Saccharomyces cerevisiae S288C: one gene and its partners. The gene in region 3 interacts genetically with the main gene of each other region. Each region holds a gene or a part of one and is shown on either strand. Other genes may lie near its edges.

The links.
Region 1: mutations in BSP1 (region 3) and AIM23 together harm fitness more than expected from each alone (negative genetic interaction), as found in Saccharomyces cerevisiae (one large-scale study listed by BioGRID).
Region 2: mutations in BSP1 (region 3) and YAR066W together harm fitness more than expected from each alone (negative genetic interaction), as found in Saccharomyces cerevisiae (one large-scale study listed by BioGRID).

Annotation. Positions count from the first base shown.
Region 1 is NC_001142.9:163,680-167,332, forward strand, and holds AIM23 (Aim23p), read right to left. Parts: upstream 1,670-3,653; coding exon 599-1,669; downstream 1-598. Other genes in the region: YJL132W (uncharacterized protein), read left to right, coding at 1-487; URA2 (bifunctional carbamoylphosphate synthetase/aspartate transcarbamylase), read right to left, coding at 2,044-3,653.
Region 2 is NC_001133.9:219,192-222,185, reverse strand, and holds YAR066W (uncharacterized protein), read right to left. Parts: upstream 1,138-2,994; coding exon 526-1,137; downstream 1-525. Other genes in the region: YAR064W (uncharacterized protein), read right to left, coding at 1,689-1,988.
Region 3 is NC_001148.4:881,795-886,064, forward strand, and holds BSP1 (Bsp1p), read left to right. Parts: upstream 1-2,033; coding exon 2,034-3,764; downstream 3,765-4,270. Other genes in the region: YPR170W-B (uncharacterized protein), read left to right, coding at 1,445-1,593, 1,693-1,801; YPR172W (pyridoxal 5'-phosphate synthase), read left to right, coding at 4,002-4,270. UniProt on the Saccharomyces cerevisiae protein: Recruits the capping protein complex to actin patches and the actomyosin contractile ring, and/or stabilizes their interaction. May serve as an adapter to link INP52 and INP53 to the cortical actin cytoskeleton. Binds F-actin.

The DNA of each region.
Region 1 (3,653 bases), on a different chromosome or scaffold from region 3:
TGCAGCCATATATTCTTGGAATTTTGAAGGTATGAGTTTTGTAGCCGTATCTCAACCAATGTTTGACACTGTGTTTATATATATTGAGAAGTCTGGGCAAATAGAGTTTTTCTTAAAACTGGTTCTAAAGATTAAGACAAAATCAGATTCAATCCCGGATGAGTTTGGTTCATCTTTGCTGTTTAATGACGAAGAAAAGAAATTGTACGTTTCCTCCCCAGGCAGTTTCGATGCAAGAGGAAGTATATGGAAAATTAGTATGGATGAGCTATTAAAGGCGGGAAACGATCCGAAGCGCAAAACCCTTTTGATTAATAATTTAAGGCATCTCATGCTCATAAATCCTGACAAAAGTAGCAAGGGTGTGTCAAATTTTGGTAATAGCATGATTTTGGGTCCCCAAAATCACCTTATAGTAGGCATTCCCCAATATGGGTATGGAAATTTTGATCACATGCAGCTAACCGGTAGAATCCTGGTACTTTAATGATAAGTTATTATGTACAAGCATCGGTTTAGTTCAATTACATTAATTTAATACTTGAAAAGCATATTTGGCAATATGCGCTATATATATTCTGATGTCATTTGCTTCTATTTACATTTCATTCATTTTTTTTCTCTGAATCCTTTTTTGCAATTTTTCTTGCCTCTCCTTCTTTCTCAATTCCTTTAACGCCCTCTTATCGTTGTTTTGTGGTTTAACGTCCTTTGGTATAAGTTTCATTATCATTTTCGAGTTCATGTTACCTAGCAGAACAGGATCATTAGCATATTCGCTAACTATCTCTTTCAATGTCTCCAAGACAGCAGCTCTTTTCTGGAAAACTGATTCTGGTAGCCTGGGTGGTTCACCTTTTTGAGAGCGGTCCAGCTCCTCAAAATTTTCAAGCCAATTGTTTGAATTTATGTTATTCTTGTCATCAAGATATAACGTTACTTTATTCCCTTTTTTCAATAGCGAAACTATTTCGTGAGCCTTCTGCCTTTTTAAATCATCGCTTTCAATCTGCCATGATATTTTAATATGCTTCAAGTTATCTTCTTTTTTATCAGTCACCAAATTCTTGTAAGACTTATTCAGTACTCCCAATTCCATCAGTTCCTTTTCCTTTTTTTTAGCCAGAAAGTCTGAATATTTTTTTAAGGCTACACGACTTTCGACTATCTTAACAAGTGGAATTTGATTTTCATTATCGATTTGCTCTACATTAACAATACTGAGTCCAACTTTATCGAGATCAATGCCCTTGGCAAAATACCGAATATTGGATGCTTCAATTCGGTGGGTAGTGGGATCCACAACTTTGATGTTTCCCTTGTGATTTTTTTTGAATATCTCACTAACAACTGAATTAGCTGCCTCTTTAGCTCGATCTGTCCCGGTGCTCCAAGTAATCAGGATTTTTTTCCTGTTAGTAGCATTCCTTGGCACTTGTTTCGGGCGCTTAATATACTCTTTAGGAAAAGCAGCATTTCTTGCCACATTTCCATGACTTTGCTCTTTAAGATTTGCCAGCTCACGTTTACGTTTCATTGCGTTGCGAAATATATCTGTGGTAGATGATGCATTGTCTCTGCTGAAGTATTTTGTGCAATGAAAATATCTAAAACTTTTTAAAAACAGCATCTTCTGTGAAAGAACATCACTCAAAGGAACTTTTAACATATCCACGGACCTGATGTTACCTCCTTACTGTGTATGCATCAGGTATGCATTTTGTGATATATAGCTGTTATAGTTTTCTGAACTTACTTTTTTAGACCCTTAAAGTTCTTACCGTCGCGGGAAAATTCAGGTAAAATTCAAGAGCTCAGGATGAAAACTAGACAAAAGGAACGAGATTACCTTCAACTCCTATGCCTTAAACATTTTTTGTTTCCTCAAGAAAATTTGTTTACAAAATCATTCCATCTTTTGTTTTAAATAAAAACTCGACTTTGGGAAATCATATTATTGAGTGTAATATACAAATAAAAATATTGGTTAAAAAAGTTTAATAATAGATTATAAATTTAAAATACGGATAGGTCTCTTATCATTCACATATCAACACCCATGACCATGGCCAACAAAGCCATTCTGACGAACAAACCATACTTCATTTGTCTGAAGTAAGCAGCACGATGATCGTAGTCCACTTCCTCTTTGATTTCATTTACACGAGGCAATGGATGCATGATAGCCATATTTTCTTTGGCGTGTGCCAAGATCTTGTTGTCCACGATATAAGTATCCTTCAGACGTGCATATTCTTCAGGGCTATTGAATCTTTCTTCTTGGACCCTTGTACAATACAGAACATCGGTCTTTGAGATGATATGAGGGGTTAATTCAATGCTCTCAACACCAAGTAAGCCAGCTTTTCTTAGCTCTTCTCTTAATCCTTCTGGTAACCTCAATTCCGGAGGAGAAACAAGATTAATTCTGACTTGATAGTGCATTAACAAACGACACAATGAATGTACGGTTCTACCATGTTTGAGATCACCCATGAAAGTAACAGTAATACCATTAACAGTACCGATTTCTTCACGAATCGTAAACAAATCCAAGAAGGCCTGCGTAGGATGCTCGCGAGAACCATTACCACCATTAATAATTGGAACAGGAGAATATTTAGCGGCGATATGAACAGACATTTCTTCTGAATGACGCATGACAATGGCATCACTGTAACAAGCCAAAGTTCTGATAGTATCTTGAAGGGTTTCACCTTTCTTGACAGAAGACACCAATGGATTAACATTTACAATTCTACCACCCAAACGTTCCATAGCAGCAATGAATGAAGAACAAGTACGAGTAGATGGTTCAAAGAAAATTGTAGTAATAACGTGGCCTTTCATTAAATCTAAGACACCTTCTCTTGCGACAGCTGCCCTTAGTTCTTGTGCAACAGCAAACAACACATGGAAATCAGAACGTTTGAATTGTTTGATAGACAATATATGTCTTCCGCGGAATGGATTGTTACTACGGATCAAATTCTGGATGGCGCCTGGAGCAACAAGTTCTCTTGGTGGCCTTGAAGACATCAATTTTTGTTCCAAAGGCTGTTCTGGAATTGCATCCTCCGCGGCATCTAAATTATCAGCGATTGCTTCTTCCGTGATCGAGAACCTTCTTTTAGCACTAGTAGATTGGAGCTCTGCGGAAGCAGTTATGGAAGCTGGACTTGGATTAACAATGCATTTTCCTTTGGCGCCTGGTGAAACTAATTCACCGCTCAAAACTAATGTTTCGCCATTATAGACAACACGCTCAATACCACCGTTCATATCTTTGTTGAATGGTGACCATCTCTTATTACGTCTGAAAGAATAATCCAAATCAATTTCGACAACTGAGTCCTGAGTAGGGATGTTGAAAATTTTAGCGGGATTGTCATGCAGACGAAGGACGATATCATCAATGGTTAATTTACCTTCTTCAACAGCAGCCAACAATAGTGGTAATGAATCTTTGATACCCATACCAACATCAACCTTGTTACCTGTGACATTTGCCAAGGCGACAGGAAGAGCACCGACAGAGAAAGCATCGATACTATCAAGGTTGTTCCAGAAAAACTCTTGATCTTCCTTAGTAGGCAAGAAAACTGCCTCCGGATAGTCATCTTGGGCAATAAACAAAGAATAAATATTGACAT
Region 2 (2,994 bases), on a different chromosome or scaffold from region 3:
AGCGTTAGAGGATAAAGTGACTGAACCAGTGGCAGTAGAGACAACACCAGAGGTAGTGGATGCGGATGTGGATGCGGCGCTTGTAGCGATGACACCGTCATAGTTTAGGTAATATGAGTAGGCGCCTGCGAAGATTCCTTCGGAGACACTGAAGCCAGAACTAGAGAATCCAGTACCAATTTCAAAAGAGAATTGTCTGTTACCTTGGGTTGCAGTTAAGACACCAGTAGTACCGTCGTAAGAAAGAGCAGTGATGTCGGCGGTAATGGCAATTTGGTTCTTACCGGTGTAGCCAACAACAGGAATAGGAGTGGCGTTGGTTTCGGTTGGGTCAACGGCAAGAACACCTTCACCCTTGAATACAACAGTTTGGCCAGTAAAGGTGTCAGGGTAGTGCAAGTATAGGTTACCAGAGACGATGTTGATTGTACCGTTTCCAGAAACTGGTTCAACGATAACATAGGTACTTCCATTGTCTAGGTTGATTTCACCGTTATTTACAGAGCCTTCATCGTCGTCTCTACGTTACAAACCGGAAACAGAACCACCGTTGAGAATAGCATTTGACAAAGAAAAGGTACCAGCGTTAGAGTATGGAGAAAAGGTGACTTCACCCTTCTTGGCCTTTGACAAACTCAAAGAAATGTCACCGCTGCTCTTGAACGAGCTAGGTGTGAATGAATAGATAGATGCGGAGACAGCGCCAGTTTCTTCAGCACTGAAGTTACCGGAAACTTCAAAAGTCTCACCAGAAACGTCGAACGCGGTACCTTCGTAGCTTGCTTCAGACTTTTCGACAACCAAATCACCGTGAACTTTTAGATCAGATGAGAAGACGTATTTTTCACCGTCAAGTAAAGTCAACTTACCACCGGCAGCGACTTCCACGGCCTCGGTTGCAATTACTTTACCAGTAACTGTGAGATCACCGCTAATTGTTGTGGATGGCAAATAAACGGTACCGTCACTGGAAGAAAGTGAGTCGGAAGCGGTGGCACTTGCACTAGCTGACGAGACGGAAGTGATAGAACTCAAGTCTGCGGAGGAGGTGCTATTGGTGTAAGAGTCACCGAGAGCGCCGCGAGAGAGTAGGGCCAAAGCGACAGCAGCTTGGAATTTGTTAAAACGATTGAACATCTCTTTTTTTTTTGTAATGGGCGAGAGTTTACCAATAAAAAGAAAGAAATAGTAAAGCTTGCAAAGATGAAAACTTGGACTGCTATTATGAGAACAAGAGTGAATATGACGATCCAGTGACAATGAAGCATATTGAAGTACGATTTACCTGCTTTTTATATACTTCTTCTTGTTACTACTCACGGACTCCTAACCCATAGCTATAGAGCCCGAAGCTACAGAGACCGATGGTGTGCTAGATCAGAATTTTTGTGCATGCATTTCTACGAAGAACATTCTCAAGCCCTGTAAGGCTTGTACGCGCGCGTTTGCCAACAGGGAACGAGGTGCTAATTTGCAGACCAACACATAAGCAATTGGCCAAAACAACAACAACAACAATAACAATAGCAGCAGCAGCAGCAGAACGCGATTCAGCCTGGCCAGATTATTGTAGAAGAGGCACGCGAAAACAAGAGCGGGGAAGGGGCAAGATTGTTTGTTACGTGGGCAGACGCTCAGCTACTTTCTATACAATCCCTACTCTGTGAGGTGCTTATTCAAGCAATGATCTATAACTTTGGCTCAGAACAGATCATACGCCAAAAACAGAAAAGAAAAAGATAGCTATGTCCTAATGGAAGAGACAAGAAATCTTTGCGGCTACCCTCGAGAGAGTTAGTGCACGGTTTCTCCGTAGCCGCGAAATGCTTCTTTTCTGTCCCTGAAGCGCACGGCTGCGTAATCTCACTGCGACGCGGACGGCAATTGTTTTCCCCGGAGACGTGGCTGACAAAAGTCCCTGTGAAAGAAGGCGCTCGCTCTCTTCCGTGGGTCCCTGCTATATAACTACAGCAAAAATCAATCAACATCCTATTCCTGACGAGAATTACTCCGTCTCGTTAAAGAATATCTTTCCAGCGTTTTCTAAGGAAACGCGCAATGTCGCTCGAACTACAAAGACTGAACCTTTGGGTTCCATTATAAATTCTTGAACTTGTTTCATACCCATATATAAGCGGTGCAAAAGACAAAAGGGAAAAACAAAAAAAAAATGAAGAAAAACGGACAAACGGATAACCGGCACCTTCTGTACCACTACATCGCCCGTTTTCGCCAGCATTTCATCAGCACAGATTAGATAGTGTATTCCTACCTCCAACTATCTTATGCTTGGTTTGAATATTTTGGCCCAGTTTCTCAGGTCTTGCTTCCAGGCGCACCCAAAATGTGGTCTTGGTGTGATTGTCGTCACCTTGCCATCCTCTCTCAAATAACGTGGTTCTTGGTAATCTTCTAGACACTTTCCATAGTTTCAAGTCACGTGCGAATTGGCATGTTGCAGAGATTTAGATGGCTATATTTCCTCAAGTTAGCGCATTTGGCTTACTTGATCAGGCGCTTACGAGCTACATTTACGCCTGTCTGTATAATTTTGTTTCTTGACGATGGGATTCTCATAAGAAAGTCCAGATTTGTTCGCAAGGTTAGACACTTTTAGCAGCTAGTGCGTGGTACTTGTAGAATTGCGAACCGGGCATTACAAAACAAGCCCTTTTTTAGCGCTGTCAAGAGCAGAAACTGTAAGTATGCCAGAGTTAGTTGCCGCCCCAATGCTCTTTTCCTGGGCCAATTCGAGAAGTTGAACAGCTTTGGATATTACTGATAAAGAGATGTTTGCCTTGGGGGGCTACTACGGTAATAAGCGTCTTGTCGCTAATGACATGCCAGCAATCACTAAGATTGTTTCGCTCTCAGAAGAACCAGAGGTGGAACTACTGGTTTGAATGACGGATGATTTAGATGATTCAGAGAATATAGAAGTGGAGGTCGTTGCAGAAGAAGAAATGACCGAGGAAGACATGACTGAGGAAGAAA
Region 3 (4,270 bases):
AACTCATATTACGATTCATTACCACTCATTTCAACACAACAACCTCTTGCTATCAAACTTACTTTTGCTTTTATTGCAGATATCTCGTTATTTCTGCAAAAACAGCATTCATTGGTAATGACAAGGTCAATTTTGGCTTTTATACATTTCACATGTACAGGATAGTGGAACACATTCCAAGGAGGTGAAGAACGTCCCCTTTGATACTTCCATACAAGGACGATTAAAAATACATAAGAGAACAGATCTGCAAAAATGCGTTTTACTTCCTTTACAATCTCAATGCCGATAAATAAGCGCAATGAAGATTACTCAGCAACTGTATGTTGGCTCATGCGAAATATGAATGTTTCATTCGAGATTACTTATCTTGTTTAACGCTTGAACAGCGTACTGTAACTTCTTGCTACAGAATGATGGACCCCATTATAATACTACCGCCTTGCGAATGCGCAATTTATTATGATCATGAACCCTGAGAAATCAAATGAATATTTAAAGTGTATGCAAAATGGACAAGAACATTATGGTAACATTGTCTACGACAGAATTTATTTTCTGACTTTAATAGTGACGGTTATACGAAATTAATGATTCTTCGAGAGGCAACTCACTTTACTGCAAATGGACCTGCAGAGTTTGCATCTAGAGGACAATATGCTGCACAAAAACGACCAATATTTACCTTCAACGAAAACAACCTTAAGAAACCCCTTCAACAACAACGCAGCTATCGTATCGTAGTGGTCTCCATAATGCGTGCACCTCCTTTAGCACTTATCGAGTAATAACATACGCTAGATAAGTAAAGTGTCCAGGATATTATAATTATATGATATTTCGGGAATGGTTTCTATATCTAGTTTTTTAACTTAGCCTAGACATTCGCCTCGTATTATAAAATACATGAAAGTGACTTGACTGCTTCATGAGAGTTATACTAAGAGCATTCATAACTAGAAGACACATTTTAGTTTTTATTACTGAGTAAGGGTTTAGTTTGTACATACAAGGCAACATGAAATTCAAGGTGCTGATGTTCAGTAAAGCCGCCTAGCTTTACGTGCCGAAATATTGATAATATGTCTCAGCCACTTCCTGGCTTAACTATTTAAATGATATTTCTGCATCCATCGGTATGGCGCACAATAAACGGTATCTGAGAATATCGAAAAGAACACCACAATACTACTGAGTGCAAACACAGAAGAGCGTAGGTGATTCAACTAATTGAGTTAGAAACTGCATCAACGCTGCATAATAAAGATGCTGCTGTTCAGGATCATTTTTTTTAAAGACTGAAAAAAATTGCTTATCGCTTTGCACGCGACTCTTTTTTCTATTATTTGAAAAATAGCTTAAGGGAAAAGAAAAGAATAGGTAGCTTTCAAAGCAAGAACCTCTACGATAAAGGACAAAGCTAGAAGCAAACACCGCAAAAAAAATGAGACCCGTTGTATCCACTGGTAAGGCATGGTGTTGTACCGTCCTATCGGCATTTGGTGTAGTAATTCTTTCCGTCATTGCTCATCTCTTCAACACAAACCATGAATCCTTTGTAGGATCAATAAACGATCCTGAAGATGGACCTGCGTATGTTATATTTTCTTATTTATTTCGCCGTTACCCATTTACCATCTCTTATATCTCTCCTCCTTACTAACAATTATATTTTAACCCTATTGTTTATAGTGTTGCACATACTGTTTATTTGGCTGCCTTGGTATACCTCGTGTTTTTCGTATTCTGTGGGTTCCAAGTTTACCTAGCCAGAAGAAAACCTTCGATCGAGTTGCGTTAGTCTTGAAGCCAATAGGATAATACCAAATGCATTAATATCGTCCAACTGTTCTATATACTTATCGTAACCTCGTTCCATGTGACATTCTTTTTTATTACACTTTTCGACAATAGCGAATTGAGTGAAATATTATGAAAGAATATATAGTATAAATATATACATTTATATATGAATTCTAATCAATAAAAGTCACAGTAACCAGCTTTTCCTAGCTTTTCGAAGTTTCGGAAGTATGACAAAATATGAGCGTGACCCTGAATTGGTGAACTTTCTATCGAAAGTGGAGGATTTGAACTCTAAGAGATACAGTAATATTCCTAGTTCAAAACCAGCGGGGGAAGCGCTTTCACCAGTTAGAAGTCACAACTCTGGGGAATACAGAAGGGCTGATATGATGACAGGGAAAAATGTGGAAGGTTGCGACAATTTGGCCTACCGATCTGCGTACAATTATGAAATGACGTTTTCTCCAAAGAAGACTCATTACTCATTAAGTGAGCTGAATCTCGAACGAATAACGCCAAGGCCGGATTTGGAGGGAAGTGCCTCTCAAAAAGAAAAAAAATTTTTAATTTCTGAAGAAGATTATTTATTATTGCAGAAATTGAAAGCCTCTCAAACATATAATGATTCCAATGCTGACAAAAATTTGCCTTCCTTTGAAAAAGGTCCTCGTATGCCCAGTCGGGGTCGACCCAGACCGAGAGAGAAGGAAATAATCACCATCCAATATGATTTTGAATTACCAGGAAGAGCCGATATACCCTCCTCCTCCTCTTCTTCATCACCACCGCCTTTGCCCACAAGGCGTGATCATATCAAAATCACAGATGGGAATGAAGAGAAACCGCTTCTTCCAACAAGGCCTAACAAAGCAGAAGTTACAGAAAGTCCGTCATCAAGGTCAATAAAACCGGATGCTGTGGTACCTGAGCGCGTTAAGCCTGCTCCACCTGTCTCACGCTCTACAAAACCGGCGAGCTTTTTAAGTTCTTTGGAAGATAACAAATTGACAAAGGCGAAGAGTTATAATTCGGAAATGGAAACTCCCAAAACAACTGTAAAAAGTTCTCATATCGATTACTTGGATTCCATACAACTAAAACCAACCACCTTATCTCCTACAATGAAAAATAAACCTAAACCAACCCCTCCTTCTCCACCTGCGAAAAGAATTCCAAGATCTGAAAGTTTTATCAAGTCTATGCTAAACTCGAATCTCACGACAACTTCCAAGCCTTCTTTGCCTGAAAAACCTCAAAAGCTACGGAATGCAAATTTGGCCGCCCATAAGACCAAACCAAGCATACCGCCAAAGAAAGTGGAGTTGAATATAGTATTACCTGAGCTACGTCCCGTAGAAACTTCTCCAACAAAGCAGAACTTCGAAAACTCAATCGATTTGCCCAAGTTACGATCCAGCAACCGTAACATTAAAAAAGAAGAGGAGGACAGTATTCCAGAAGCAATAAAAGGTATACAAAATCTGAAGAAAACCAAACAGCAGAAGCCTGCAATCCCTCAGAAAAAATCATTTCTAACAAATAATTCGAAAAATACTACACTCAAAAATGGTGATGATATTAACAAGTTAAATGACGAAATTGAAGCTCTATCATTGCGGAATAACCTGAAGAAACGGCCACCAACGGCGCCACAACGTAAAATTTCTTTGCCAGAGGCATTGCGAAAAGTCGAATTGATGAAAAAATCTAAAACCGAGCCTGTTTTAGAGTCCTCAAACGAACTGAGCATAAACGCAAAATTAGACGCAATAATTGCCTCTAGAAACTTAAGAGCATCTAATACTCTACCAGAACTTAGCGGTGTTAACACTAATATTGCAACTTCTGACAAGTATACTACTTCTAGAGATGAAACAGTGAAGGAAACTAAACCATTAGTTCACCCGAATAAAAATAGGACTCGTGGTCCCAGAAGAAAACTTCCAACACGCGTGTAACTACAGAGTAGACCTCCGTATTTTACACATGTATGTACGTACATATGATGTAACAATAATATGATAATTTAATGGGATACATGTATTATCGTCACTTCCCACGTTTGCGCTTTGACATTTGCTCCCCTTATGAACCTGAAGGAATATAAATCATCGATCTTTTTGCTACACTTTTCCTCCCTTATTAGAAAATAGCAGTAAAATTACAGGCTATTCAAACCCTGAAACATCTCAATTATGGCTTGGACTAGTACATTACCAGCGCATCTACTGAACCTGATCAAAAACTCCAAATATGTTCACGTGGCCACCTGTTCTAAAGACTGCATCCCTTCAGTGGCATTGATGAACTATATCTATGTGCCAGGTGAAAAACTGTTCGGTCAAACAGATAATAAGAATGACTACATTATATTTGTTTCTCCTCAGGACACACAAAAGTTTTACAACATCAAGGAGAACCCTAAGGTCGCCCTGTTGTTTCACGATTGGATCATCGCGAATAA